Arabidopsis thaliana: one gene and its partner. The protein of the gene in region 2 purifies or fractionates together with the protein of the main gene of each other region. This does not show direct contact. Each region holds a gene or a part of one and is shown on either strand. Other genes may lie near its edges.

What was found.
Region 1: the proteins of TOR (region 2) and AT1G79190 purify together in Arabidopsis thaliana (affinity purification with mass spectrometry, with the first as the bait; one large-scale study listed by BioGRID). This does not show direct contact.

What each region holds. Positions count from the first base shown.
Region 1 is NC_003070.9:29,781,710-29,799,602, reverse strand, and holds AT1G79190 (ARM repeat superfamily protein), read right to left. Parts: upstream 11,122-17,893; 5' UTR 10,965-11,121; coding exon 10,756-10,964; intron 10,585-10,755; coding exon 10,404-10,584; intron 10,287-10,403; coding exon 9,978-10,286; intron 9,882-9,977; coding exon 9,792-9,881; intron 9,711-9,791; coding exon 9,258-9,710; intron 9,165-9,257; coding exon 9,057-9,164; intron 8,971-9,056; coding exon 8,840-8,970; intron 8,740-8,839; coding exon 8,610-8,739; intron 8,472-8,609; coding exon 8,138-8,471; intron 8,028-8,137; coding exon 7,375-8,027; intron 7,295-7,374; coding exon 7,136-7,294; intron 7,008-7,135; coding exon 6,933-7,007; intron 6,835-6,932; coding exon 6,526-6,834; intron 6,446-6,525; coding exon 6,230-6,445; intron 6,156-6,229; coding exon 5,487-6,155; 3' UTR 5,428-5,486; downstream 1-5,427. Other genes in the region: AT1G79220 (Mitochondrial transcription termination factor family protein), read right to left, coding at 1-376; AT1G79210 (N-terminal nucleophile aminohydrolases (Ntn hydrolases) superfamily protein), read left to right, coding at 1,363-1,403, 1,498-1,574, 1,662-1,726, 1,855-1,901, 2,099-2,174, 2,342-2,409, 2,639-2,708, 2,808-2,893 and 3 more; SCI1 (splicing regulatory glutamine/lysine-rich-like protein), read right to left, coding at 3,892-4,128, 4,370-4,428, 4,844-4,954, 5,127-5,199; MYB63 (myb domain protein 63), read right to left, coding at 12,014-12,629, 12,727-13,094; AT1G79170 (uncharacterized protein), read right to left, coding at 16,981-17,221, 17,317-17,330.
Region 2 is NC_003070.9:18,527,031-18,541,818, forward strand, and holds the start of TOR (target of rapamycin), read right to left. Parts: upstream 12,966-14,788; 5' UTR 12,590-12,965; coding exon 12,425-12,589; intron 12,202-12,424; coding exon 11,863-12,201; intron 11,785-11,862; coding exon 11,710-11,784; intron 11,533-11,709; coding exon 11,360-11,532; intron 10,992-11,359; coding exon 10,893-10,991; intron 10,577-10,892; coding exon 10,417-10,576; intron 10,349-10,416; coding exon 10,205-10,348; intron 10,068-10,204; coding exon 9,898-10,067; intron 9,819-9,897; coding exon 9,614-9,818; intron 9,541-9,613; coding exon 9,352-9,540; intron 9,145-9,351; coding exon 8,992-9,144; intron 8,524-8,991; coding exon 8,402-8,523; intron 8,314-8,401; coding exon 8,214-8,313; intron 8,140-8,213; coding exon 8,044-8,139; intron 7,743-8,043; coding exon 7,612-7,742; intron 6,904-7,611; coding exon 6,801-6,903; intron 6,726-6,800; coding exon 6,543-6,725; intron 6,469-6,542; coding exon 6,376-6,468; intron 6,277-6,375; coding exon 6,241-6,276; intron 6,138-6,240; and 40 more. UniProt on the Arabidopsis thaliana protein: Essential cell growth regulator that controls development from early embryo to seed production. Controls plant growth in environmental stress conditions. Acts through the phosphorylation of downstream effectors that are recruited by the binding partner RAPTOR.

The DNA of each region.
Region 1 (17,893 bases), about 11 Mb from region 2:
CCAGTGGCTTAAGAAGGCTTAACTTAAACTCTAACTGAGCAACATTGGCTCTCTGCAAAGCAGGCCTACGAGTAAAAAGCTTGGATATTTCATCATCATCACAACCCCATCTTCGTAAAACTTGTAAAGGACTACTAGTAATATCTCTCACTTTCTCTTTTTCACCAACTTCTCCAACATAATCAAATTTTTTTCTCCTAGACGATAGATCAGAATCCTCAATGCATTCTTCAGATTCATTCAGGCATAACGTCGAACACCTGGTGGTAAAGGTAGCAGAAATGAGATTTCTACAACCAGCCTTTCTGACCAAGCTCGAACTAGTAAACAATAATCTGATAACAGCTAAGAAATTTCTCTTCCCGGTCGAATGCATTTCAAGGGCGTAATCGAGAGTTTAACAAACTGGAGAAATAAAGGAGCAAATTTTCTCTAAGAATCAACAATGGCTCTGCCTCAACGACACAATCAGCGACATTTACACGCGTATTTCAGATGCTTCTTCCATCCAATTTTCCGAAATAGCTAGAAAAAATGGAACAATTACCAGTACACGAAGCTTGTGATGAACGAGCGAAGAAACAAACTCCGACCAACGGAGGAGAGTTTGTCAGAGAAGAAGGAGGCGATGGAGAGAGACACAGCCAATTCGGACCAGGTTTGAGTCCGAGTCGGGCGTGGAAGCGAGAGAGAGTAGGGGACTAGGGGTAGTAAATAAATAATGTGGTTCAAACTGAAAAGAGATATAAAATATTGGACTATTATGTAAGATACAGTAACTGTGAAGTTGTTAAAACGCCGCCGTTTTGGTTTTTTTGTTTCTCTCGTTTTCTGGCGTCAGACTCTCACCCTTTGTGCAAGAAACCTTGAGAGCTTAAAAATTCTTCACTTGGGTCTCTTCTCTCTCTCTTCTCTTGCGACCATTCCGTTCGATCCATATATCAAAGGTATGTTGCTTTGATTGAATGGGTTTCTTTTGTTGAATTTAAATTGATAACTTTAAATATATTGAATTTGGGGTTTAAGAAAAGTTTTCAATTTTCGTCTCTGAGTTTGAGCTAAGAGCTGATCTTTGAGTTTGAGTTTGTGTTTGATTTGATTCACTCACAATTCTTAATTAGGGTTGGTATATCTTGTCTTTTTCATCGTTTTCCTTACACATTGCCCATGGCGATGAGACTCTTCCGGGTTTTTAAGCTTTGTCAGATTTGAACGCTTCAGTCTACTTACTTGCTCAGACGTGGTTTCTTTTCATTTAAGTTTGAACATTGTTGATGAAGAACAGATTTAGCTTCCACGTTTCTAAATTTCCAGAGATGACACTATTTCGCATTTTTTGCAGCTTGATTTAGTTGGTTTTCAATGGGGGACAGTCAGTACTCGTTTTCTCTCACCACCTTCAGGTATTAACTTTGTTTATCATATCAATGTTATCTCTTTCTGAGCATTTGGAACGGTTTCTTCGGGGTTTGATTCATGTTGTGGTTTATGAAACAGCCCATCAGGGAAGCTGGTTCAGATAGAACATGCCCTAACAGCTGTTGGATCAGGCCAAACATCACTTGGAATTAAAGGTTTTTTCAATGATCTAATCAAATTCGAGAGGAGATTTTTAAGGAACATTGTCTTTGGTAATCATGACTGTTGTTTTCTTTATGCAGCTTCAAATGGAGTTGTCATTGCAACTGAAAAGAAACTTCCTTCTATATTGGTTGATGAAGCGTCTGTAAGTTTGATCAACTCTTTATAGCAATTAGTTCTTTTTCATTCTGTGCCTGCTCGTGTTACTTTCCTTTCGGTTGCATAGTTTCAGTAACTCCTACGAAACTAATGTTTATCTATTGTCTGTTTCAGGTTCAAAAGATTCAACATTTGACTCCCAACATTGGAACTGTTTACAGGTTCTTCTCTTCAGCTATCCATACTTCTTTTTTAATAGCGAATTTGGTTTTATAGCTTGCAAATTGGATTTATCATACATTTTTTATTTTGTTTTGGGTACTTAGTCTCTCTCATCAGGTGCTAGTGCTACTGATGGAACCTTTCCCTTAGTACCCTAATGATTTCAGTGCTAACTTTGGTATTGCCTTTTATGTAGTGGTATGGGTCCTGATTTCCGAGTTCTTGTGCGAAAGAGTAGGAAGCAGGCTGAGCAATATCTCCGTCTGTACAAGGTAATCTTTAATATCTTCTGTTTTTTTGTCTTCTTTTCCTGGAGTGTCTAGTAGTACATGTATGATAAAAACTTTGGATTGATGATTCCAGTTGATATAAGTTCTTGCTTATTCATAAATCCAGATCGCTCTGTTGATTCAACTTCTAAGGGCGTTTATTGTTGCAGGAACCCATCCCCGTTACTCAACTTGTAAGGGAAACTGCCACGGTGATGCAAGAGTTCACTCAATCGGGGTAAGTACTATATCGAGTGTTATGTAATTACTTCCTCTCATATGCTCAACAGGGTTCAAAAGTGTTATTGGCTCAGAGATTGCAACTCTAGAGCGAGTCTCTCTATGCACTTTTTAGCTCAGTTTTGATATTGATTTGGCGTGAGATAATGTTGTTAATGCAAATCTGTATTTGCAAACTAGACTACTGAATCTTGCTTCTAATCTCTGTCTCCTTCTGCTGTTAATAGTGGTGTTAGGCCGTTTGGAGTTTCTCTACTGGTGGCTGGGTATGATGACAAGGGTCCACAACTGTATCAAGTAAGTAGAACTTTAAAGAAAATATAACCATCCTGCTCAAAGTGAAGTAAAACCCGTAAACTGAAAACATCTTATTTCATAATTTTCATTGGCCACTAGGTGGATCCATCTGGCTCTTATTTCTCATGGAAAGCTTCTGCAATGGGAAAGAATGTTTCGAATGCAAAGACGTTTCTTGAGAAGAGGTGATAATAATTTACCATTTGTGGTGATGAGTTTATGATCTTGGAAGCATGTCATTTCATCTTAGTCTTTGATCAGGTACACAGAAGATATGGAACTTGATGATGCCATTCACACGGCAATATTGACATTGAAGGAAGGGTGAGCATTTTTACCAAAACTTAATTTACTTTATTTCCAGAGTTCAGAATTTCTCAAAAGCCTATAACCTCCGTGTCTTTTCACAGTTTCGAGGGAGAAATCTCAAGCAAAAACATCGAGATTGGCAAAATCGGTACTGACAAAGTTTTCAGGTAAACATTCAAGACTACAAAACTAATATAAACAAAAAATCTTGTTATTCCCATCAATATCTGAAAAGTGAATGTTATATGCAGGGTGCTAACACCAGCAGAAATCGATGATTACTTGGCTGAAGTCGAGTAAAACTTTCACTTAACCGTGCAACCAACCTGATTTGAATCTCAGTATACTCTCAGAGTTGATGGTTCTTGCTTTTGTAAAACTTTTGGAATTTGTTAAGGAGACTCGTGACCCAATAATTTAGAATATGTTTTTTCACTCATTTAAACGTCTGTTGTGAAAATTCAGTTTCATATAACCAAGTTTCATGCACACAAATTACTTAGCCAAAGCTACATATACGCTGTGTTGTAAATGCCAGTAGGAACTTACATACTGTACAAGACCAACTTTCAATCAAAACGGTCTATTTCTCCCTTAACCGGATATCAAATTCTCAATGTTACATAAGGATTCATCAGATAGTTCTTCGGCAACTTTGGTTAAGACCTTGGATATGTAAAGTTTGTCTTACTCTGAAAACCGACTACATATCTCTCCACGACAATCTATCTAACTAGTTCAGCAACAAGAAGTTCTAAGTAGAGAAACTACATAGAAATATATCTCTGATGCAATCAACCTTCACGTGTACAAGAAGCAAGAAGAGAGGTAACCGGCGAACCACAGAAGAGGAAGGTATTGCTTTTGCTTTTTTTCACCTACGCTTGATCATCCAGTCGTGAGCTGTTCGTGGGGCAGTGGAGATTCCCTCGTAGTATCGAGACTCGAGTTTTCCTCTGTTCCATCTCTTGACAAATCGTGAGAACAGTCCTCGTGCAGCTTCGGTCGTGAGATCATTAAAGTAAGTACGTTTTTCTTCTTTCAGCCATGTAGCAAACTCGTTGTTTTTCGAGAAGTAGTCTTCCATTGATAGCTCTGGAATTCCCTCTTTCTGGAAGAAAAAACGGAAAAGAAAAGCATTTTAATCAGAACCTCAGTGTGGATGACAATCCGTCAAACATTACAATAGGGCAACAAGACTTTTGTAATTAAACCATGACTAAACAACTGAAGAGACCAGCGAAGAACCACACATACAAAGTCTCCAAAGCAATATACTTTTGACTTTTTAAGTGAATATACAAATAGATGTTTTTATGGGTAACTATTTCAAAGGGTAAGTTAGAGCTCACTAGCTTGTGGTCGCTTTCCGTATGTTTCTTTTTCGGCTTATCATCCTTGGACTTCTTTGCTGTAAGAGAAAAAAAAATGTCAGCAGCAAGAAAAACAGATCATACTGAAAAGCAAAGACACATGATATAAGTCATGCTGATGAAAGATAAACATAGCTGCTTTAGCTGTAACCAAAACAAGATATTTCTTGCTGCCTATAATCCCTCAAACCAACAGGTTCCGACTACAACCTCTTCCTTCTCTAGGAGAATATAGGTAAGACAAAGCTAAATTGATGCTCCGTTAATGGCATACAAGAACAAGAAAACTCCAGCTCACATGGGTATAACTATAAACACACCACTCTCTAGATGAAGAAGCAAACACATCAAATTTATCATACGACAAACTTAACTTGACTCAACATATAATCAAGGTTCTAAAACGGATGGAACAATATTTACTAACTCAAAACATGAGAAACAGTATCTTACATGTACTGGATTTGTGGTGCTTGTGAGATTTCTTATCCTTCTTATCACTTCTCCTACTTCTCCTTTCATCATCTTTCTCTGTTCCTCGATGCCTCTTAACTTTCTCTTCGTCTGTCAATTCATAAATCACTATGTATCAGATTATGTCATTCACAACAATAAGTCACACTCTCAACGCCAACTACAAAATCTAATCGAAAACACAGATAGATAAATTGATGGCATTTCTCGGGAATCGGAAGAAAAAGTATATACATAGAGGAGAAGAAGAAGAAGAACATACAATCGGAAGATGAAGAATCTTCGCTCCGAGCTCTGCTTCTCTTCTTCTCCTTGGAGCTCCGTTCGCTTACCATTATTTCCCGACGGACTAAAATAAAAGAACGGAGGAGCTGACATATATTTATTTGGACCCCGCGGCGATCAGGATTCATAATCCCGGGTCGGGTCGGGTCTCGATGTCGAAATTACACTTAAACCCCTTACTCTTTTATATTTTGCATCTCGCCCCCAATGTTTTTATTTACCCCAATACAATTATAATCCCTTTTTACTAGCTTTTTGCTCAATGTTACACTTGAACTATATTACCAAGTTTTTTTTTACTGCTGTTTTCAGAAAAGTATTTACTACAAGCAAAGTATTAACAACGCATTTGGTCTACAAAGACAAGAGACTGCATTTTCTTAAAGACTATCTCAACGGAGCTAAACTCCAACTCAAAACCATAGCTCCGACCACCGTATTCTACATAGAGAAACTTTGTACGAGAATCTTCTGGCGGCCGAGAAGGCAAAACATTAGAGATATCTGGAAACTCCGGAGACGGTGGGAGAGGCAAATCTTTCTTCTTGAGAGAATAGTACACATCAGCTAAGAGAATCCAAATGAGATCAGGATCAATGCAAGCAAGTCCTCTCAACGCATTCAAAGCCGCTTCTCTTAGGCCAGTTACACTGCTGTACGCAATCCCCACGACCAATCCTGCAACTTTTTTCAAGACTGCATCTAACGCTGAAGCACTGCGTTTACCTCTGGAAATCTCGGCGATCATATCGAGAACTGCTGCCTGCACTTTCAAGCTGGAAACTTCAGCAATCGTAGAAGATGATGACTCGGAAATGGTTCTGTAAGGAAGTCGGAGAACCGATTTGTTGTCTTCCCGGAGGATCTTAGGCGTCATAATGTGGAATGGAGACGTTGTTAAAAGCTTCCAAAAGTCTGGGCCATCATTGCGGAAACGACGTGAGAAGAAATCTCCTCCGGATGTTTGAATGATTCGGGTTATCACGACTAAGCATCTCCGTACAGCCTGTGGAAAATGCAGCAGGTTTTATAATCCATTAATCTAGAGATAAATTCGGAAGAGGGAGAAAGAGATTGTACCACGGGATTTCTGTTTCGTATGCAAGCAACACAGAATGGCCAGATTTTGTTGATAGCGGGTAAAAGCCGGTTTTCATCTGCTCCATCGTCGCTAGCATTCATGTAGTCTTTAAGCTGATAGAATGAAGCAAATTCAATGACTTCTTCAATTGTTTCTTTGGTTTCTGTCTCAGCTCGATAAGCTTCCTCGACTTTAGCCAGCGCCACTACTCCTTCCTGCATAATTGGATATACTGATTTATTTCGCTTGCGAAAATGTCCTAGAGAGAGCTCAAGAAATCCGACAGGAATAATACCTCAATTATTTCGAGGGAAACTAAGCATGAGACTTGATTTGATGATGCAAGGAGAGGCGTGGCCGCTATTAAACAAGAAGAGGCGATCGAACCAACTGTGCGTCTGTATCGTTTAGAACGATTCAGTTCAAGCAGTATGTTTTCCCATTCTTCTTCGTCTTCAACTATTTTGTCAGAATTTGAAACTCTCTCTTGTCTTGATGTAATCGCATCAGTTGCTTTGGTCTTAACATGGTCACTATATGACTTGGCTCGGTCTGGTAATAAGCAAGCCTCGTTCTTTGATGCATTTACAATCTCACCAACAGCCTAGCAGAAGCACCAACAAAGGTTATGATGTTTCTTAGACAAAAAAAAGCCAATGATTTTAAAAGACTTCAATAGAAAAAAATGAAAGATTGAATTACCTTCAAGAAGGGTATAGTTAGATTTGGATGCTGTTGTCTACCAACAATTTCAAGTTCCTGGGAAACCAATCGCATCTGTAGATCCCCCAAAATGGAAAAAGAAAGTTCTTAACACACTGAATATGATGAATCGGAGTGTGATGAAGATCCAACAGAGGCAATTTTCCATGAAAAAAAAAAAGGTTCACTACAAATGGCCTTACCGGTTCCTCCAACAAAGGTAATATATCATGGGCAACCCCGATATAAGAAAGCATAGCAGCTAGAACATTTGGGACATGAGGATTAAGATCCAGGTGGCGCAGCTGGCGACAAATAGAGTCAATAACATAATCCGCATTTGCAACAACCAGATGCCCAACCTGCCAAACAAACAAACAAAAGACAACAAGATGTTGATTTTAAAAACGATTTTATGATGTGATTGAATATTTTCGACTACATTATTCTTCATTCTCACTGTGGGATGGCCTGAGGTGGCAGCAAGAAGACGTAGGACAGTGTCTGAAGCATTTCTAACTTGGAAACTCGAGCAGGTAAGACTCTCAAGCAGAAGGTAAAGCGAAGAGTGAAGAAATCCACTTGAAGCAAAGTCTTTCCCTAGACACAAGGAAAACACACCTACTCCTTCTATTATAACTTGGTGTAGCATTGCACTGTCTCTTAAGAAATGCAGACTAATATGTTGCCCATCGTTATCAGTTTGGCCCAGAATTGCCTTTTGGTCCACGGGGAGATCCCAAACTTCAGAAGCTTGGTATTCATGCAGGATTTTACCAACGCACTCAATCAGATTTGTTTTTGCACGTTTGTTCCAAGAGATTTCCCAGGAAAGTTTGTCTCTTCCCTTCCTTGACTTCTGAAGCAGTCTTGAGAGAGCATCCGTTGCTTGATCAGATAGACCAAAGATCATCTCATTCAAGATACAAGCAGCAGTTGCCGCCTGGCGAACTAACTGTCCTGAACCAGTTCGATTACACCACGACTGCCAGTCTTCTCCATTATACTCCTTTACACGAACTTCTGAAACCAATTTACGGACAAACCCCAGAGGAATATCCAGGATGACTGCTAAATGCCCTTCGTTTTTAAATCCTGTCAAACACAAACACAACGGAGATGATTTACTATCAGTAACTAACTCATTTATAAGTTAACTGCAGAGTAATTTTCAGAAAAATGGTTCCGAAGGAATATGAAATGACCTGCCATTAAGGATAAGCCTACAAGTCTAAGGATTCCAGCGAGCATCTCGTAGAGCTTCTGGCTACCAACATAAGAAAACCAGGGAGGCATGCGAGGTAACATATGGCTACTGGGGGACGATATCTCCAATTTTACTTGATCTGTTTCTGTGATATTTGGAACAGCACGGTTGTATCTGGTCTCCCGGAACCCCACTTTTAGTTCTGTGATAGAAGGGAGGTAACCTGTCGATGATGAAGGCCTTTCTGCGATGAGTTTCTCAAGAGAACCGGTGAATGCTGAATTATGGCTTAGACAGAGAGAAAATATATCCAGGAATCTGCTAGCTGTTATCTACATAACAGAATGCCATGAAGAACTAATCATATATCGCAAGTCATTATTAGAACATGTTTGGTTTTTCGAACTAGATTTGCTAATCAAGAAAGAAGTAGCACCAAACCTATGAGCGTGTCAAGAAAGAATACATACGGGAGACTGAAGATGATCCGCCAAAAACTGAGGACCGGAATAATAGGTGATGACAAGTAACTGCTTCACCACCGAAAGTGCAGGCAATTCCTCATTCCCCAGAACCACTTTTGGAAGCCTCTCAAGTAGTCTGTTGTCAACAAGCCACGGAAGAAGAATAAAAAAACACATCTCTATTTAGACATCTGCATACTTAGCTTCAAAGGAAAAAAACAATATACAACAAATACCTGCTAAAGATCTTTTTTATATCACTCTCTACATGGTTTTTTGTACTTTCTGAGAATAAATGATCGAGAAATTCCTGAGCTGCTACAGAAACTTCATCAGAGTCATCAACAGCCAGAGTACATACGCATTCCTGCATCATTATAAGGAATTTATCTGGTGGCAATCCTTGGAATGGATATACCCAATATCATGAGTTGTTGTTAGTTATGAACCTACCAACATCACTAATCTAGCACCCTTCAACGAGCAAGAGCTCTTAGAGAGCAGTCCACGTATTGCTGCTAGAAATCCCCATCGAATTTTGCCGGCTGGGTGAATAAGAATCTGAAACCAATTAAGAATTACCATTTAGAAAAAACAATTCCAAAGGGATTTGGGACAAATGTGTTGAACGTAGCACGAGAATAAATAGCTTACATGAGGAAATGTCTCACACAGCAGCTTATTTACGTGAGATGTAGTGCTATCTAACCATTTCTTCGTGCGTTCAACAAGAAAGGAGTCACGACTCAGATTCAGATTGGATTTTTCAGGTACATTGATGTTAACAATCTCTTGGTTTGTAATTTCTGTCAGCTCGTCACTCTGTCCTTGAGATTTTGTTGTCAGAGAACGAAGTTCGTCTAAAATTGAGTGTGCAGATTCATGTTTCTGCGACTTAGTATCACCATTAGAAATCTCGAGAGCCGATGAATTAGCCTCATCCTCAAGGACGATCATAAGAAACTCAGCTAACCCTCTAATTGCTTGGTCCAATGCATCAACACTTCCTGCAGCTCCGCTTATCATTGCTCTCGAAACATGCAACACTTTGAAAACTTGGCTAACAACACCAGGTAGAAAAAACGCCAACACATCAGCAGTACCAATCTGCAACAAGAAACATGTTCTCATTAGGACCCATGGGTGCCAGAAATGGTCCAAACCATATATGCATAATTTAAAAGTTACCTTAGCCACAAGTATCCGTAAAGCCATAAAGGCTTCAACTCGAAGATTTGCACTTCCTCGATGTCCTCGAGAAGCCTCAGCATCAGCGACCTTGTGGAGTGATCAGAATTGAAATACCTTAGAATGTATAAAACTACATGACTCCAGATGAAAGAAAAAAGAAAGCATAGGAGAAAAGAGGGTTACTTTGAGAAGAATGGAAAGCCAATGACCGACAGCAGCCAAAGCAGACTGAGACTGAAGAAATGCAAGCAAGCATTCACGAGTTTCAAAATCATACTTATAAGACTCTGAAACTTGAGTTTGATAATCTCTTCTATCTGACAGCTGAGGCCAGCCAACAGTGCGCTTACAAGAGCAAGAATCATCAGAGCATGGAAGCAGACCAGAGATCATTGCTCGGAAACATTTGACTATCCCTTCACGAAACTCTTCAGAAGCCTCAGATGGTGATAAAACAGCACCACTAGTTAACTTCTTCATAATTACAACCATCTGTACGGGGAAAAAATTCAACACAGTTCCATAACTAAGCTGAGAATATGTTACCCAAATCGAGTAAAGGTAGAAAACAATCATAAAAACGATTGTGAGAGTTCAAAACCAGCTCACCTGATCTATGGATCCAATGTGACATTTTTTTAGAAGTTCTTCGAGACAAGAGATTACACCTTCTGCTACTTTATCACTCACTCTATATGGTGTTTGTGGAAATTCCTCTGGCTTGTTTTGCCCCTGACTTCTGCAAGCAACTGCGGCGTCTAACAGAAGAAGCAATGGGAACAAAGTGTAGCTGAAACGTACATAAACCAAAACAGTTCTCACTAAGTAAACAGTCGACAATACACCACAAATGAACTCTTTTAAACCTTATAATTGAAACTGCTACTCATGTGCAGATTACCGTTTTTTCAGCAGAAAGAAGTAAAAAGATAAAGAGAAACGAGAAAAGTGGAATAATTACTGGAAGAAGGACTGGAGAGAGGACGGAGGAGTACGGCGGAGGAGAAGGAGCAAAGCAGGGATCGTGGTTGGATCCTTTTCAGGGTTTTGCGAAAGGTTTAGAAGCTCCAAGCAGAGAACTTTCAGTTGTGCGAAGACAGCTTCTCTTTCCGGGTCTCCCTCAACGTCGTCTCCATTGGTTTCACGGCGTATTACGACGGACTTGTCCATTGAATCCGATCAATTATCCCACCAAACTCGAAAATCTCGAGTCAGCAAACAGAGAGAGATAGAACCGCGAAATTGAAAAAGAAATGACCCGACCCGAGATTAATTGACCCGATCCATTGCTATTGGCCTTTATAGGTCGTCGTCGTCTCGAATAAAGACCGGGAAGATTTCCCCTTTAGGGTTTTAGGAATAAATGCAAAATAAACCTGATAATCTATATAGAATTGCAAACGAAACCTCATATTTTGTAAAGTATCGTACAAATGAACCGACATTATATTTAATAGTTATAAGAACCAGATTCTTTCGAATCAAATTAAACCAATCGGTTTAAACTTTCAAACTATAAACCGGAGTGTTAAAATGGGTATCCCAACCCAATTTGACTCAATTTTCCTTCACTTGAACCAGTGATAAAGAAGTTGAAAGTAGAAGTTAATTTCTTCTTCAAGTTACCTATATATTCTTATCAAGATCATATAATATTTCTTCAATTTCAAGAAAACTAAGATTTATCAGAAGCCATGGAAGACAAAACTGAGATCTATCTATATTAAGCTTCCAACTTTTTGTCTATCTCCAATGAAATTCAAGAAAACATTCGGAGATGCAACATTGTTGAGATTAGCTTCTTCTAATTCAGTTGCTTGCCTTAATTCGTTGATAAGTTCATAGTTATTGTTACTTCTTCTTCAGCAAAAAAAATAGCTGTTGAGGTTAATATATCTCCAAACAAGAGTAACTGGTCTTCATGTTTTGTCGTTTCCAGTTTCAAGATGGTTGTTAGATGATTGAGATTACTAAACTAATCCTACCAAATATTCTTCAATAATTTTCTTCAAGATTCTCTAAGACTAAAGAAAGAATCTTCCAGATATATAGTTTTAGACTTTTAGTATAGTGTGCATCTTTTGACCAGCTCTGTTTTATCTACAGGCTACTAAAAATAATGCCAATTAAAAAACTATAGGAAATACATTTTCTCTACTATCTCTCTACCTTTCCATCATACATATTGTCATATTGATATCCAAAATAAATATCTTTTATCAATGTATCATGAGCTCGTAGTTCTTCAAGAGTGATGATGATGATGATTCTTCTTCTTTGTATTGTTGTTGATTATCGTCTTCTTCTAACCCGAGTTCGCTTTCTAGGTGCTTGAACCATTTCTTAACCTCATCCTCATCAGACTCTTCTTCTGTTGTTGCTCTTGAGCCTGAGCTGTTCTCATTTGCAGTGGATTGTTGAAATGAGTTTGAAGTATCTAAGAAACTCCAAATGTCAGGATCTGAATCAAATGGTATCTCCAGCAGATCGGGTTTGTCTACCTCTTGAATAATAATGTCGTTAAACTCGCTATAAGCTTCTTCTATATACTCAAACCTGAGTTCGTCTATCTTTGGATCATCTTGTTGGTTGGAACCCCCAGAAGACATAGATGTAGACAACTCATTCCTATGATTAGTCTCTCTGTTCAAAGAATCTTCTACGTGAGATGACTTATCATCTTTCCCACGAGAAACAGAATCACTCGAACAAGGCGAGGCCGGTTCATCTGCAGTTCCTGAGCTCTGAGCCAGTCTTTTCTTTAGATGAGTGTGCCACACATTCTTGATCTCGTTATCTGTTCTACCTGGAAGTTGAGAAGCGATTTTCGACCACCTGATCAAAATGCAGAAAGCTTAATGTCAATATCAAATCACTTTTTTGATCCACCATATATGTATGAGCACAATAATAATCCTAGCTGATGATTTACTTGTTCCCATAGTTGTGGTGAAGCTTAATGATTGTTTCTTCCTCCTCTGAAGTGAAGTTGCCACGCTTCAGATCTGGCCTAAGATAGTTAATCCACCTTAGACGACAACTCTTCCCACACCTCAATAGCCCTTCATTTTTGCATATATATACATTCAGAATCATAAAGAAAAGAAAAAACAATTGAAGAGGCTTTTGCTTTGATTGTGATGACAAAAGCAATGACATACCAGATTGTTTGGGGAGAGATCTCCAGTTCTCATGACCAAACTTTTGAATGAAAGAGATGAGTTTAATGTCTTCTTCTGGGCTCCATGGACCTCTCTTCACTTTGGTCTTGTCACAACAAGGTGCTCTTCCCTTCCCCATTCTCTCTCTCTCACTCCCTCTCACTCCCTCTCTCCTCTATATATATAACTTTATATCACTCAGTTCCTGATGAGATTCACTTTTACCAAAGATAATTTGGTTCTGTTTTATATATATGAGAGGTAAGAGTGTGTGATCTTGACATGAGAAAAGATGAATATGTAAACAGAGGAATTGATAAATGTCAAATCAGATTTGTTGAGTGGGAAAAGGTTGTCTGTCTGTGGTATGGTTGATTATTTGGTATGATTCCATTTTCTCATTTTTACTTCATTTGGCATCCTTATGATGCATGCAACTTATCTTTCCTTCTAACACCGATGCATGAATATTTCACATTCGTTTTTAGAAACCAAAATCCTTAAATAATATTTTCTTCTTTTTTGACATCAAGTAATAATGGAAACTAGCATCTCGTGTTAAAAATATTATCAGATTTGACATATCTTATAAAATTGTCTGAAATAAATTTCGCTAATGTAAGAAACTACTACATGTCGACGAGTGTTAATTGAAATGGTCTTAGGAATTTACAGCGGTAATGATAAGAGTTTTATGTATTTCTTAATAAAAATACTTTGGAGGAGTAAGAATATATAGTTATAAAGTGGCAAAATATTAGGTAGTGTTTTGACTAAAATAAGATTGTAAATCTGCAACTTGTTAATTAAGAATTAGCTTAAGGTATACATAGGAGGAATTGATTATATTAGTTTTTGTCTGCGAGTCTTCTGTAATCAGGCTCAGTGTATAATTACCAACTTTTGAATAATAGATAGTCCCGTGATCATCATGTAGATACAGTGTAACACGAGAAAAATGAACTCTCACTAATAATGCTGTTTTACTAAGTACGCAGTCACTCCATACGTCACTCCATGGAATATTTTCATATTTTGTATACAAAAAAGCAGAAATATATATAATCCTTAAATATAACATTAAAATGAGAGACAGAAAAAAAAAAAAACTGTTAAAAAGTCATTTCTAATCACATCCGAAAACACCAAAAGGCGTAAGGAGTGTGTGTGAGCATAGTGCACGAACTCACCAAACTAAAGACCAAAGAGAGTGGAAGAGGTCAAAGACTTACGTCTTTTTGACTTTTTTAATGTTTGGTGGGTTTGGTGTTGTTGTTGGCTCTTGGCTACGTTAATTACTTAATTCCACCAAACCTTCATTACTTAATTAATTCCTCTGTACCCATCCAAAATTATTCAAGCAATTACGACACAGCCATCACTACATCTATTACTCCAAATATTTTAAAGTACTAAGTATCGACAATAATTGAAGTTAATAAACCCAACAATTTTGTTACGTTAACAAGCTCTTAGGAGGAATAGAGAGGAAAAGAGGTTTGAAAAAGAAGAAATATTTTTCACTAGGGTAAATATCTGGACGTATATGTATTGAAGTTACAAAATGATTAATTCGGAAAATTTTGTCGATAAAAGTCTATAGGAGCAACATATATAAATGACGATCTATTAGTTTTGCATTTTTATACGACTCTTGGTAATCAGAAGGTTGGTGAACAAACAAGTATGAGTGGGAAAACTTTCCCAAACTTTACTAAGAAAAAAAGGACAACTATGAGTGGAAAAAATTAAATTAAATTTTCAACGTCCCTATGGAGTATGGACCTTATCAAAACGATGGAAACTGTGACATTAATTAAGTAGAATAAAATTAAAAAATTATGTAAACTTATGATGAAAGAACACATGTTGCTATTAGTAATACATACGTCAATATCAATTTCGAGTGTACTGACTTTAAAGTTCAGATTTTAGCTATTGGAATAAAGCTCTGCATGTGTATGTTTTGTGTGATCATAATAGGGACACATATTAATATATATCAACTATTTATATAAGACTATATATACATAAATATGCTTCGCTTTTTGCGTTTGTTATTGTATTATTGTTTAGGAGATATAACACCTTATCTAATAAAAACAAATTCTCGATTTAGAAAACAACTCATGCGCCAAAGATTTACCCATAAAAGAGTCCAATCTTTCAAAAATGCTAGAAGTTTAGAATTCATGACTAGATATACTAACGAAAACAAGTAATTTTGATTTTTGTAAGTAAGTTTTAAAAGGGAAATACAATTAAATCATAATTAAAATGATCTGATAATCACCTAAACAAGATTTTTCCAAGAGACCAAATAAGACACCTAATCTTGAAAAAAATAGAGATCTCAAACAATATTATCCATCCTTGGGTTGGGTTGGTAGGACATTTGCTTAACAGTGATGGTTACTTTTTTCCTGATCACCTAACTAATCACACTCATTAGGTCCAAGCACAGTGCTAACATTTCCAAATTAAATAAAATAACGCCATAATATTCAAACATAGATAAATCATGAGATTCATGACCCAAAAAACTCAAAAGGTAAGCAGATAAAATCAATGATTACGCATGCATGACGCACATGTATTTGTTATGGGATCTATTTCAACAGAAATGTGTTGGTTAATATTTTAGGTTTTTTTTTTTAGTAATCAGAATATCTTTATATTAATCTCCAAAGCATGCGAATACCATATAAAATATTATTATATACGGTCAACCATAATTAAGATTTGAACGTAAGCAATTATTCAACTACTAGATCACTGTATATGGACCATATAATGGTTAATATTTTGGTATTTAATTTATTACCCGATAATTAGGTAATTATTCGATATAGTAACCGTCAGTAATTATTACATGACACAACTCGTTAACGTGATATTTAATAAAGACCTCTCATTTCTCTCCATATTAGAGTTGTTTATTTTCGAAAATGGAGTACATAAACATCTCATGCACCAGTTTAAAAGGGACGATAACATGCGGGAAGATGTAGTTGGGCCGGATTTCGTAGATACTGGGCTAAAAATACTATAAACGGGCCTGTCTATTTTTTAATTCTTTTAATTTTGGTAGAAACGGGCCTGTCTAATTGAAAACGTTAGTTTTAACTTTTAAAATTAGAATGAACTAATAACTGAAAATACTTGATCTTTTTTTTTGCTAACCAAAAATAAATACTTGATATTGGTATCGTATTTTAACATTATATCCGATCATCTATTTTGGATATTCAAATTTGACGTTTTTGTGTAAAACTCGGATGTCCACAAATATATTTATCATACATTTTTGATAAAACATGCATTAAATTCTTCACATCAACTAAAATTTTGAAAAATAAAACAGAAAATCGACTGCAGAATGAGTAATGGCCTGGGAATTTAAGGTTTATTATATGCATTTAAAATTTTAATATATCATTTAATTTTGAATTTAATAACCACACCAATATTCCATTTAAATGCATTGAAACCCCAAGACCAGTCTCACTGCCATATAAATAAATATACCAAAATTAATTTCACAGTTACACATTTAGGGCCAGCCGTCTTGTTAAGAATATGTATCCTCAAAAATAAAACATCGAGAAACCATAGATTTAAAATCTTGGGAAATTTGCAAGTATAACCTAAAAACATTTAATAATTTGGAAACTAACACTTCAAAAACTATAAGGTGATATTGTGTATATTATATGTAATAAATACAATTATACCCTCTTCTTCTTTCTTATGTGTGAACATTTTCTCTTTTCTTTCTTCTTTTCTTCCACTACCACCACAACCACCACTACCTTTAAAACCATTGTCGCCGAAAAATCGTATCCGGAGCCACATCGCCGGAAAATCGTCACCGGAGCCATCATCACCATTGTACTATTTTATTTTGCTGTTAGATTTTTGAAAATTGAAAGTTGAGATGATTTCATTTCGTTTAATGATTTTTGTTTGGGTTCTATGTATAGTATCTTAGGGTTTAGTTTTCTTATATCAATATATATTTGTAATTATCTTTTCGTCACCGGCACCGCCATTATCGTCACCATCGCCACTAACACCGCGATTGTTGTCGTCACCATCACCACCGGCACTGCCACTGTTGTCGTCACCATCGCCATCGGCACCACCATTGTTGTCTCACTATCGCCATCGGCACCACCACTGTTATCATCACTATTACCATCGGCACCGCTATTGTTGTCGTCACCATCACCATCGGCACTGTCATTGTTACTATTACCATCTTCGCTATCATTAAGCTAGCCAACACTTTTCTCTTTTTATGTATGTCCATAAACCAAAAAAAGTGTGAAAGATCACGTCACTCTTCTTCTCCTTTTCACGCGCGTGTTCTCATGTTTTAACGAGGAGTTACTTGACTTTTTATCCCTCTTTAGTGTTATTTACTTAGTTTTGCATATTAAGGTGCTATATTCTTAAATAGATTATCAAACATGGTCAGCAAATCATCCTAAAATCTTATATATAAATAAATCTTAATGAACAATGCATAACTTGTTACTCCAGTTTTGATTTGTTTTTTTTTTCCTTAACAATAAAATTTCTATTTTGCTGAATTATTTAGTGACTTTTGACGTCAAATGAATCAATCCCGATAAAGTAATGTCATTTTTTTCACACATTCGTCTGTGTTTGTGTATGTGTGTGTATAAGTTAATAAAAGCTATTAAATGTTAGGTGTTATGAAAACGTCCGTGAGCATCATCACTTCGTCACCCTAAGAACCTAAATAGAAATAAATAGAAATAAACTTCCAACTTTATAATTATTCAAAGCTCTTTGGGTTTGTTCTTAAATGCATACACCTTCCTATTTCCTAAAAAGCCAATTACTAATTAATATCTCACCACATTTTTTCTGCTATTATTTTAAATAGTTTTTCAAATGTTGACAGCCAAA
Region 2 (14,788 bases):
CATACCTGCAGCTTGGTAAATGCCTCTTTGCGCTTACGTTCCTCTCCAAGTGACCATTGGTATTTTAAGTATCCAAGCATCACTTGTGGAGGTCCGTGATATTGCATGTTTTCTGGTGATACTTCTGGATCAAACTGCAAAATAAGGGCCCAAGTTAGACATAACAGAATAAAGATACACTCTTGGCAGAGAAAATTCAACAATCAAAAGGTAAAAGTTCAAGACCGGTAAGAGCTTGAGTAGAGTAGATTTCGCCTGACTGATCCTCCCACTCTTTCGACAAAGCGAGGCAAACTTGAGCCAAGTTTCCACATCTTCTGTAGGAGGTAGCACAAGTGCCCGGACAGCCAAAAGTGCTTGCCACACCTGAGTAGTATTGGGAATGCAAAGTATTAAAAAGCACACTATTATACAAAAAACCTGAGATCACTCAATAAAATTTTAATGAGTTTTCTTATTTGGATTTGTTTTTTTATCTACGTAGGATACAAGCTCTGACTAACAGTTTGGTAAGAAGCTACTTTACTTTATAAATCAACAGACGGAAACTAAATAAAGCAAACCTAATATGGAAAAAATCAATTTGATCCTAGCGAAGATTCATTTAATAAAGTCACCATACTGCAATATTTGATGCTTAAAATACCAAATGCCTTGTCATTCACTAGTGGCTCAACTAACATGATAACATTAAAAATAATATACCTCCACATTACGCTTAGATCCCTGAATCCGCTGAGTCCACATATTACGAATTAGAGCTCTCCGTTCTTCGGCAATAGTATTTCCCACAGGCAGCGTATAATATTCAATTACCTAGTATCGATACAACAGGGGAAAAAAATAGAAAGATTAATCATGTATATGGAGGGGTGTTAGGGAGGGTGTCCAGGAGAAGGGATCTTGGATAATTGAGATCTAACCTCCTCTAGTTCTGACAGCTGCTGAACACGAACCATATTGCTGTACGCACGCTCATAGCTCTCCAAAACCTGTAGAAGGCGCAAATAGACAATTACAAGTTTTTCAGTATGCGTGAGCAACTAAGAAGGTAACATGGTGATTACATGATGCTTCTATTGAAAGGAACCAACGATAGCATGCACAAAATGTTATTTAAATAGAGCTAAATATGTAACTAAGATGTCAGGAATGTATAATCCTACTTCCAACACCACAAGGCGTACTCAAATAGTTTCAAGAACATAATGGAAAAGGCTGAGACCAGTTACAAATATCTTTGCTGATATACATCTGTTCCCTTTATTCACAACAGATGATTCATAGATATTTTTCACAAAAGTTTATAATGAAAATACTACCAGAAATGAAACCTACCAGCGCTGCAAGTTCTGTGGCAAGACATTTTCTAGCTCTTTCCACATATTCGCGTGCCTCGTCGTACTAAAAAGGAAAGAAAAATATCCACAGGCACACATACGCAGAAATTAGTGTCTGCAAATAGATTATAAGTAAGCCTGATAAGATTTATAGTACGAAAATATAGGTCCAAGTGTACCTTTGCCCTTCGAACTAACAGAACAGCCCTGAAGAATGTGCCATTACTGCTCCCATCGCCACTAGAAACCGGGCTTGCTAAACCCCGAAGCTTTGTTTCATCACCATCATCTAGCCGAGACACATATTCGGCCATTTGATCCCACTCTCCCATGTTCCATGCAGCTTGTGCAGCCTAGTATGGTTGCAAAAAGACATTATGTAACCATGTAGCTATATCACCGAATGTAGCATAAGTAGAAGTTACCAACCATTGGTGCCATTTCCAGACGCGCAGATGGCTCAGCAGGACTCCAGTACTCTTTGCAGAGATTGTTGAGCTCTTCCCATCGTGCAAGTGCAGCAAGACATCTCATTTGTCCTACAACGTGGTAAATAAGCAATAGAATCAGGCCATTTCATGAAAAGAAAAGAGAAGCATCATATGAATTTTAGACTGGAAAAAAATGCGTTGATCTGTTGTTCTGCTAACTTGTAAGAATGTTATGAACCCACAGTTCTCTATGAACTACTAACAGAATACCGACAAAAAAATGCCAACAGAACTTAGAAAAAAACATTATCGAAGAAAAAAACCCACTAAATCCTCCCAATATTAGTCTTGGTTACCACAAACCTAATGTGGCTTCTAATACAAGATGAGGATTTGTTGTTTGAGATGCTTTCAAAGTGTACGCCTTGAGTGCATCGTCCCAGCGCTGCAGCTTCTCATACCTAGAAACAAACACTGTTAGTGCTTTTCCACTGATTAGGATCAAAGAATGGAACCACACACAATCTTGTGACGGAATGCCTATCAAACAGAACTGAAAATAAGTGCATCATGATTCAGAAAAGCCATGTTACCATGATTCTTTTAATTGCACATCAAGATGTTGTTGAGCATAGGTTAGTATACCGACAGCAGCCTATACAAAGAATTCCAACCAATCAATAATAACAAATATCAAAGATGGTCGAAATAGGATACAAAATACAGTGTACCTCATGCTGGTGTAACTGATTATTTATGTGTATAAGAGCCTCGACAACAGCAACTGGGTTGGCATCCATCCTCTTGGATCGTGGACCTTCAAATTCCATCTCTTTATAATGCAGAGCTTTGGCAAAAACACGGCACTACAAAGTTGGAATATTGCACATTACCAAGAAAATCAGATGAATTCTTGATACGCAAATGAAAAAAGTACCAAATCTAATTTAACTAGCAAATACATAACGCAAACCTTTTCAGCAAGAGCCCCCAGAAGACGAATATCAATGGGAAGAGGCTTCTCATCATGTTCCATAAACTCTGCCTAAGAAGAGAAATAATAAAATCAAGCACAAGTGACAGGACCAAGCAACAGGATCACACATAAAGGTAGGTTGATATTGATTCTGAACTTATGATTGTTTATCCAACCTAAACGTAATATAGATTAAACGAAGTATAAGCAGATATTTGGATTATAGTGTTAATATTAGATTAAATAAAAATTACACGTCATGTTTCCATGTACACTCACAGATCGTTTTGTTGATGGTTTTAGCAACAAAAAACGTGTTTTACATAGAAAGATTAACAGGTGCAACCGCTAAAGAAATGGTGACCTAAGAAGTTTTTGTTTCCAGTCTTGGAAAATGTAGTCAACTCATAACAATCGCCTAAGCTAAAACACAAGCACTCAATAAGCACAAGCATAGCCACAGGAAACAAATTTGCTGTTCGTTATAGCCAGTGACTCAATCAAAGGTCTTTATCATGTTTAAGTTTTCTTGTAATGTAACAACGAACATACCAAATTGAGTAGTGTAGCTAAAATTTCTGGAGGGATATTTGGAGATGAAAAGGCCATTTCCAAGCTCCTAACTAACTGCTTTTGGCTAGACTCGTTTAGCTGTGCCCAGCAACTGACAAAGCCAGCAGCAAACAACTCTCTCCCGACAAATGGCTGCAAAACACAATCATTAAAATGCACCCTTTTGAGAGAGGAAAAGAAAGAGCATAGATGAAACACCTGCAACTGAGCAAGTTTTGCACAAGTTCTTAATGCTGGAGAGGGAGACTCCTTAAGTAATTCAATACTAAAATGTCTCATCCATTCCTCCCAATCTTCTTTGGTGCTGCGTTGAGAAGCTTCTCCAGCTGTCCGTAGTCTACCATCATTAACCTGTTCAGCAGATCATCAAAGCCATGAGTGAAAGTTTTAGCTCTTTCAAAACTAAGAAAGAACCAAATAAACTTTACTAGAGGATCATGTTAAATCAAGCCCATATATAGTTTTATTTGTTTTTAAAAGCTGAATGTCCATGGAGAAGAGGAAATATAGAGGACATATTTACAAACTCATTGAAGCAAATGGCTCAGGACCAAGACTAAGCTTCAATGAATGAACGTTGCTATAGATAAACCTACCCATCATTTAGATAGGAAAAAGAAAGAAAAAAAGATCCGCCTTATTCAGCTAAGGAACCCTACAATACACCCCATGTTTGCCTCAATGAAGTCATACTAATAATGACTATGCCGACCAGAAATTTTGTACAATGTTAGAGTAAAATCATGATTTTAACTTGAAACTTGATAACAAAATTTTCACACATTAAGAATCTATATGTGATTATATACGACACAGAAAAGAGTACCTGATGGTTTCTGTCAGTTCCTTCTTCGAAAGGATCGATCTCATTCTCAATTACAGGATCCCTGATAACCTCAACTGGCAGTCGCCTACTTAATTGTTGGGTTGCAGTTGTAGCTACAATCAATGGTTCACGTCTCCGCCAGCGAGCATGAATTTCCTCAAATTCTTTATGCTGAAAAAATGTTGTACAGTGAGATTTTACAGACAGAAGTTCACAAATGACATTTATAATACATGACAGATAAATTTTTGCTGCTATTTTTATTTAAAAGATAGTAAAATGCAAGACCCGCAATCGATGCTTCAATAAAAGCTTGTGAATTGATTCAATGAATATGGTGAAGTCCTCTCCAAGTGCATGAGCCAAACAGCATAGTGCATCGACAGCATCTTTCCGCAACTCATCATTCTTCCTGCGATTACAGAAGATATACCCCATAAGAATATTTATACGTACGAAACTGAAATCACGAGTAAGGTTTAGAAAAACGTGAAATGAAAATCCACTAGAAAACAATTGGGTCCCATCAATAATGGCAGATAAAATCCCATGATATTAAGAAATGTAACTAACATCTGCGGAGTTCTAATAACAAATACATGTGGCCAGAAAAAATTGTAACTAAGCAATACAAACAACTTATGGAAAACAGATTTGTAACAGTAACAATGACGGATTGAAAGTTAATGAGATAATAATAATTCCATCCTTTTTGATAATGCATTGTCAACCATTTAAGAGAAAACCAGATAGTGACACAATGCCTAAGTTTTGAAGAAGTATTGTAAGAAAACCCTTAGGAAAAAGTAACCAATATACTGTTTTTCAGATAGTGACAATCAGTATAACTCACCCATCTAATACTAGCTTCAAGTGATGCACGAGAGCGGAGATATGACCAGTAACCTGAGGATATATACGGATAATTAAAAGTATTACAAGAAGCTTAATATGGAATTTTTTCTGGATCAGCAAAGGGAAAAAAAAAATCAAAATAAATAACCAAAGCTCCTAACCTGAACACACGGGATTACTCTTGTCAAAGTTTTGATGGCATCGCGTCTTATAGCTACAGGAGCATCTACTTTAAACAATCGAATAAGTGCCGGAAGGAGTAAATGCATGTGCTCATCAAGAGTTCCTGCACATAAGGACTCTAAGGGTCAACCATCAGAGTGAAATCTGGCCATGGTGAGAAAATGGAAACTACAGGAGTAAACAATCTGACTATTCAAAGAACCTATATACCGAAAAAAAATTGGATTTAATAGATAAGAAACAAATATGCATATAATAACGAAACTACTTGTATCATCTTACACTACACAATCTAATAATGTGGAACCTCTTTACATTCTTGTAAAAGAACTGCATACGTTAATTACTAGAACTCGCATACCCAAGTAATATAAAATGACTATGAGGATGTCAAAACAAGATAAGTATTACTGACCGCCAAACACTTCGAGTGTGTGGAGAATATCAGGAACATAGGTGTAATCATTAAACCGCTCGGCGTCACCTAATACTTGGATGAAACATGGAAGGATGACTGGAAGATAAGTTCTGAATTCATCATTAAGTGCCAAGCAAAGATGTTCCAGTAGATGCAGAACCTGATTATCAGTAAGAGAGGCGAAGTACTCCCCATAAGATATCTGTCCTTAATCAATAAGAAACATAGCATACTCTAGGCAGCATACAACTTACCGGAAGACCACGTGATGGGCGTATGGGACCGGGCAAGGTGAAGGATGACCATAGTTCAGAGACTAATGAAAGCAGCTCTGGCAGATACTTGCGTATGTGCTGTACACAGATAACATAAGCTATGAGTTTACACAAAGTCGGTCGTATTTTGACCATAACTGAAAATATTAAGGTGGATATACCTGGCGAACAATGGAAACAAGAGTCCCAAGACCCCACGTAATGAAGTCCTTCAGGTTCTCATCAGATGTTCGAACAGTGTGAAAAAGCTCAGGTAAAACCTTCAAATTCAGAGGTGGAACCAACCCAACAAATTACCACAACGTAAAACAGAGAGAGCATTTATCGAAAAGCTGCCGGAGATACAATATTATTTACACCTACCTTCGGCAAGTAAGGCACGCATCCCAATCCCATTGACTAACCTCGCAAAAACAAAGTAGTGATAAAGTTGTAACCTCCTCATTGCAGTTCCAACACAAGTTTATTTTAAAAAACAGTCAAGATGGTTTTAGTTACCTTGAAAATGATCATCAGAGATCTAACAACCCTTTTGTGGTAACTAAGAAGTGATGCATCTCTAAGAATTCGCATAAGCGAGTTGATAGCAACCTATAACAATAAGGAAAGTAATTGAGCACAATTCAGACTACAAATGAAATATATTCACACAAATTAAGAACTACCGTTGAGTAATAATCCTCAGATGTAGCAAATGACGGCCGGAGTTCGACAGGTAACTCATCAATTGATGGAATAGGTTGACCAGAATCACCAGTGCCGCGAGGAACTTCACCATGTGATCCTGATAAACTTTGTTGGTTACGTTTATGCACATGAGGATCCAAAGCGCCCATAATTCCAAGAACCTGTAGATATAACCACGTTTATCACAAAAATATCTTCTAGAATAGTCTAGAGTAAAACAATTCTCTAGAAACTACCTTGAGCACTTCTCGTCTGGTAGACCACACTAAGTCACCCTTCAGCAATTTCAAGAGTAACCCAAGCAACAATGGGTATTCCTTGTATGGAGTCACAACATACCTACGTTCATAATGAAATTAGAGCCGTAAATAACATGCAGGGAGGATTGTAAACTTCTGGAACTCCCTTCATTTTGTACTAGTTATGTGCACAATAATTAGCACATGTCCCAAGCTACTAAACAGTAACATGCAAGTTGATCACCGCACTGTCTACAAATGTCTACAACTTCATAAACACCAGTGATACAGTTGATTAAATCTAGGCAGCATAATATCCTAGGTATTGGTAAATCAATCCTTTCGCACGACAAACAGAGAATACAACTCATGACAAGTCCGGACACAGAAAGGCAATATTCTTTCTCCGGAATAATGAGCCATCTCAGGAGAGACGGAAAAAAAACCATCACAAAGATCTACCGCAGATAGAAGAACTAGCTAGGGATAACAATATTGTCATTTCATATAGAATTTTCTCACTTTTAGTAGGTTAAAGGATAAACATAACACATATGTATACATTAACACATAAACAGCCTAAGGATAGCTCAGGCTTCTACCTAGCTAATAAGAAGAGATGGAGGCCCCGTTTGTGTCAAAAAATTCACTTAGAATCCAGTATTTTCATCTAGTCCAACCAGGCTTTCGCCAATCAAGATAGTAGCATTGTCTTAGTTTACAAGAAAATTAGCATGTTCAAAATTGCCTAGTAGCATTATCATATAAAACAAGAAGAAAGTCGTAAAAGAAGGTCAATATCTCATACCCTGTACTTTGAACAACTTGACCAAGAGTAGAAACAGCCACCTCACGTTTTGCTACAGCAGCTCCATCCATTAAAGCTTCAACAATTAAAGGCATCAGCTCCGGAATATATTGTCTCATTGCCAAGCCACCCTGAGCAAGCAACGCAAAAGAAAACCAGGAAGGGAATATCTTAGCCAAACACAATAAATAACAGGACAGGAAAGGAAATAAAAGTACCAACATTCTGTTAACTTAGAGACAACAAAAAATACAATATTAGATGCCGGCCAGGGCATTGAAATTTGAAATACGCTTAGCCAACACAGACTTAGAACACAGATAGAAATAGTCAAAAATCAGACTGCAACTTTAACGCGCAGCAAAAACGCAGTTATGTTTGAATCGACACTTAATATAGAATCTAAAACTTGCCAATTATATTTCAACTTACCACTCTTGCAAGATCCCCAACAGTTACGAGAACTCCAGTGACAATATTATTGTTAGCATTCACTCCAGTTCCTTCACTAAGTCTCGCAACAAGTGCCTAGAAAACAAGAGTTACAACCCCGTGAACAACAATAATAGCCATACTATCTAAGAAATGAAAAGAAATTAAACCTTTTGGACAGGGGCTACGTATGGAAGAATGAGCCGTTCACAATTTCGAACTAAACAACCAAGGAGCTTTGCACTCTCTTCCCTGCACTTGTTATCTGCACTGCTGACATTACAATTGAAGTCAATGCAACAGATACATAATCATAGGAAATGAATCTTCCCATATGAACTAAAAAATTTGTAGTTACCTCAGCTCAAGATAGGTCAACAACTGTATAAGATGGCGACGAAGTGCTGGAAGTACGTATGCTGGATTTTTTTCCGATAACCTTCCAGCAACTGAGATGGCATATTCTCGAACATCAAGGTCCTGTTAAACAGAGATATTGTAATATATGAATTGAAATGGTTCCATTGACTAGGCCAGATACTGTAGCCAGGTGGAGTGAAAGTGTGAAACATAAGCCAAACATTCTATCAAGTTAACAGGGTATCACATGATGCATCCACCAACAAAAGGCATTCATTCCATCCACAAATCATCCAATTAAGTTATCTCAGCTGCACTTTTCCAGTACAACTTAATAAGTAACACTGTTTTGTGACACAATAGAAGCTAATTCATAGACTAAAAGCCCAGCTACGTCTTGGTATCCAAATTTTGATATTAGGGGGAGTAATTAAATACCAACTTCATGAACCCATGAAATTGAATCTCAAAGAGCAATACAATTACAATAATTCACCCAAGAGAGACAAATAAAAGATCGGTAACAAATTAGGACTGCAGTATGACATCTAAGCTGCTATTTTATTCAAACAAATAACACAATCATACCTCATCATTTAAGGAAGCAAAAATGGCAGTCAAACTATCAGCCTGTGCTAGATAATCATCGAAACATTGGTTGCCAAATAAAGCAACGAATATAGATTTGCGAACAGTTACATCAGCATCTGCAACGGCTGTCCTGAGAAGCTTTTCCACAATCTGCAGAACCCAAACATCATTTCTCAGCAAGCAGAAAATTGGAACCGCCACTGGTATTGCAATTATAAATGCCATCACGAAGCATGTTTAACATACTTAAGTTCAGATTTGGAAAATAATAAAAAGAAACCTTTTGTAATGAGAAACAGTGAAATTAAAAGACATAATAAGAAAAAAATGTAATGGGCTTTCAGTATGATATAAAACCTCTTCCACAAGGCGCCTGCGTCTCCCCCCTGCTCGTGTTGACCTGCTCGAGCCAAATTGTGTGATGCCAGAAAGAGAATTTGCAATTAGTCTGCAACAACACAAAGCAGCATCTTTTCTTGTGGCTGCATCCTCATCATCCAAATAAACAACAACTGACTCCCGAGCAAATTCAAGAAGATCATGTCCCTGCCAGAAATCAGAAGCTCAAAGACAGAAATTTCATATTCTTTAGAAAATGTTATCCGCAAAGAGCGCCAACCTTGAAATTGAAACGAGCAAGAGTCTGCAGGGCTAGTTGAACTTGAGCTGAACAACTAGGGTCAGAAGACTGTGGTGCCATGCCCACTGTACTACCTCGGACAATGGTAACAGGAGGCTTTGCTTGAGAATAATGGGATTTTGAAAGAACCAACGAAATGCAATCTAGAAGCCGATCTTGTACTGTTGGCAGCAAAGAAGGAATGCTGAGATACAAAGAATTGTCAGCATTAAACGTATACACATCAATGTATGTAATAACAAACTTCTTTCGTTCAACTTTACCTGATGGTTATCTGGTCAAGAGCGTCAACAAGTGTGGAAGAGAGACTAGATGAAAACATAACATCTAAAAGATCTCGAACATGAGTTTCCACTGTGGATCCCATTGCCTTTGCGATGTTACCAACACAAGCCACAGCTTCAAGCAAAGGTCTGCCTTTACGTGGAGCAATCTACAGGGACAACATAGTCGAACAAAGCCACTTGTCTAGTTCAGTTTTCAAAACTAAAACCCAATATAATACTTTGACACAAAAGTAGTAAAACGTAATTACAAAATAAATAAATAAATAAATAAAATTTGACCCACCGCATCCCGCAGATGAGACATAATTGTCGGCAAATAATGGATAAGCTCACCATCCAAAGCACCAGCCATTTCCCCAAGGGCGATGAACCCACTGGCTCTTTCAGCCGGTATTCTTAACACAGTAAGAATATGATTCATGCATATCTGCAAGAAAGTAATTCGTGTCACGTTTCCAGAAATTTTTTGGTTTTAAGAATCTCTCAGTCACTTACCGTTAAATAGTTTGTCACAAACCGGTCACGGAGAAAGTGAGCAATGCGAGGCAGTAACGAGGTGATGCTAAGGCGAACAAGGCGATCACGATGTTCAAGGTATCTGAGGACAATTTCGGCAACTTCTCTATACCTAGACATCATGAACTCACCTGTATTCCTGCAAACGAACTCTAGCATTAAGCTGTAAACTCTAACACCCAATATGCCATGAAATCAATCTGCTTATAACAGAAAACAACGTAATTTTCGTCGTCAAGAGTCTTTTGTTCAGGTATACACTGAGAGTGGAGGAATATACATGAATTGCCTACTTTTTTAATGATGTAAACTACAATACGAAGACAAACTAACAAAACAACCCGAGCATCATGGGGACAAACAAGTTGTTCTACGGAAATATTCCAGAATCAAACTTGAGTGTCTGACTAAAAGAAAGGGATGCTTTCAAAATAGATAACCACTTCTGCATTTACCTCAACAGCTCCCCCACGGCAAGTAAAGAACCATGAATACTGTGAACCGGAGCATTTCTGCCCAACCCATCCTGTGTAGCTTCAAACATTCGATAGTACCTGTAAAAGCCAAATTGAGAGAAGATCAGTTAATAAAGATGGAAACCCCTATTGATAATTTGAAACATTGCATTGGCAATGATATATATAAATGCAGTAGAAAGTCTGCAAAACGTATCACCATGGGAAGAATATATATTCGAATATCATCCATTTTGGGGGGGGGGGGGGGACCACAGCATAAAAAGCTAATATAAGTTGCATTTACACAATAAAATATACAAAGTAGTACTTAAATGAGGGTGATTGCAAATGAAAGTATTGCAACAACACAAAGAAAAGCCTTGCATCAAAAATATCATACCAAATACATAACCTAAGGAAAACATTTCAGACATTATCATTTTCAAGGATAAGAGAATACTTACCACTGCACTCGCCATCGAGTCTCCCTTTTCTCAATAACACGAAGGCATGCACGCAAAGCTTCAACAGCTCGTTCTCGCACTTGCAACTGGGGGTCCCTAAGTGCAACCCAGATAGCATCCACAAATTCAGGGACATGAACGTTAAAGACAGTAGAAGCATTTTCGGCCATCTCCTGCAATGTTGCAAGAAAACATCCATATCCGTATTAACTTAGGATTGGAAAGTTATCATCACTATCATTTTTCAAACATCTATAATCCAATTTATTAGTTCAGAAGTTTCTTTCTGAGTAACTAAAAGAAAAAATGATCTGCTTATCTAAAGGATCGGGCAGCTGAAATCAGGATACCTTTAATATTAAAACGGCGGCGAAACGACGATATTCCACCCTGTCTACGCGAAGCCAATCAAAAGCTGTTTTCATCTGTGAAAACGAGATCAAGAATTGAGCAACTATGAGCCGAGACAGTGATAGGAAGGGGAGGGAAACAAACAATCTTACCTGAAACTCCACTTCATCAGAAGTCATTGCTCCACCTGCCCGAGCAAGGTGCCCCAAAACTCTACTAGCAAGCACCAAGATTTCAGGATCACGCTTCAACTCGAACACAGTCCTCATGTAACCCGCAAATCTAGAAACCTTAGTAGCATTCTCACCAAATCCAATCTCCGTCAACTCATCAATGGCTCTGAGTGCACCCATGTTTTCCGCCACATCAGTGCTCTCAATTAAATTAGCAATCCTGTCATATAATTGCTCCATGAACCTAGAGGAAGCTTCACCACTAAGATCACGAACTGCTTCCTCTACGTGTTTCCTAAACGCTAAAGGAGCTCCCTCCTAATACAACAACCAAAAATCATAAACAAAGTCGCATACTTGATGGAAACCAACAACAATAGATCAAAACCCACAAATTGCCAGACCTATAAGAACTAAAACTTCGAATTTTCCATTAACCAGAACAGAGAGATTCCGTCAGATAAGCAATAAAAGCAAAAGGGTTATATGGGTTTCTACTAAAGCATAAAAAGGGAGAATACTTTACAATGTTCTTCATTACCTTAGGATTACCACGGCTGCAAAGGTCAGCGATGACACGATTCAAAGTGTCAAAGCTTCCGCCACCAGAAGCGGTGGCTGAGGGACCACAAAAGCGGTGCGATTGCGAAGGGGAAGCCATGGATGCAGGCCGTCCAGCCACAAAAGATTGCGACGAGGTAGACATCGCTGCAGGGCCAGTCCAGCCACAAAAATCTTCCAAAAACCCTAAATCTGACCCCTTTTTGGTTCAACAACACTTGGGCAGAGAGAGAGTATGTACAGAGGAAGATAGAAGAATCTTCAACACATGATGCGTCGAGAACCGAAGATCGCAGAAGAAATCAAGATTTTTTCTCTTATTTTTTTACAAATTCAATTCGCTGAGTGTCTTTTTAGCTTTCTTAGGTTTTGCTTTGTTCTTTCAGAGACCAATTATCTTTGGTAAATAAATTGGAAAACCCGAAAGGTTTTTACTAGGAAAATATGACTTTTTCCTTGGAAAATTGTAAAACTTATGTTTGTCTATCAAAAACTTATAAATACAATATTTTCATTTTTTTTTGTCACTGATTAATTACTTAAAACCCTGAAAGGGTCTTTGTTTGGGCTATGTAATGTTTAGAATGTTTAATATACACTTGTCAAAGAAAAAAAATTACTTGTGAAAAAAAAAATAGTCAAAAACTCATATTTGTTCACTGGACAATAGAATAACTTTTTTTGTCAAGGAATAACTTTGTAGTTTCTTGAATAAGTTTTCTTTTATTGTCATTTCACTTTATTATTATTATTTCCAATTATGCTTTTAAGCAGATAAGGAGTTTTTAAAATGATCATTAAATTGTAGGAAAATAATAAACTATAGTTTTGTTGTAATTAGTAGTCATTACGAACAAAAATAATGGGGAAAATGAAAAAATTCAATTGAATGCATATGGTTAAGTTTGTCAACAAATTAAATAAATAAGAGGAATAATATCTATACAAAAAAATATCGAATATTAGTCAAATTTTGAATAAAAAATGTCAAATAATAGTAGAATTGTAAAATAGTTGTATGGTAATCGATATATCATATATTGAAAAATTGATGAAATGTGAATCATATCATTCAGTTAATTTGAATTGTTTTTCTTTTTTTTGGTATGGAGTGGATTTGAATTGTTAGATGTGATGAAACTTTGTTTTTCTATTCATAAAAATTCTAAATCATAGAAATCATTATTTATTCTCCAATGGTAAATTTTTGTTTTGCTTGTATGTTAAGTAGTATTCATATTCATATGTATAGGAAAAACTAAAGAAATGGCTCCTCCAAAATATAGTTCGTGTTTCTCCGTTGTTACAACGAAAATAATCACAATGATTGTGTATGACAAAATAAGCATTACATTCGAAAATTAAACGAAGCACATCCAACATAAAATTTCAAAAGAGTTGTGGCTTGTGGGAGGCTATAGCATCGCTTGGTTTCATCGTACACATCAAGGATGGTGAATAGACAGGGTCCAAGTGTTAACGTTGCGCAATCCCATAACGTGACAAGAATGTCGGTGAAAATATTGGTGTTCTTTTCTCTCCAAATTAATAAACTACAACTAAGAGTACTATTTAAAAAAGAGTTAAAATGACACAAAATAACTCAATTTTTTATATCATTAACGCATTATACGTATAGAATTTAAATAATAACATATACATTTCCATATAGGATAAATAACCTCATCAAAAAAAAAGAAGAATTTTATTATTAGTTTAGACTTTTTTGTCAATATTAATTTATTAGCTTCTTAAGTTTTATATTATTAGCAAAGGATAATGATGCCAACTATATACATGCGTGCTCCAACTTTTGGGACCAATTCATCTAACCTAAGTGATAAACAGATAGATAAATTATCCACTTCTAACTATTTTCCATCAGCTTATTTCAAAATTTAAAAGCTAAATCATTTCAAATCAAAAAGGTCTTTGGCTTTTTTTTATCCACTGTTCCATTATTTCTCTCTTCCATTAAAAAAACTGCATTTTACAAGATCTTTCAGTTTTTAGAAGTAATCAAGTATCAGTGCCAAAAAAAGCTACATTAAAATCTTACAAATTACAGTATACGACGTATTCCTATTTTCAATCGTTATCTAAGTAGAAATATATTTAATAAAACGTGTGAAATGTCAATAAAACAACAACAAAATGTACATACATTAAAAAGAATTCAAGACCAGCAAAAATATATATACACGTTACTATTTAATCTCTTGATATGTTTCCTGTATAAAAGAAAAAAATCTACCATATAAACCTCAATAACGATTCCAGAAATTATATCAAAATTGTAAAAGACAAAAACATTTAACTAAAAAAATCATATAAAGGAGTAAAG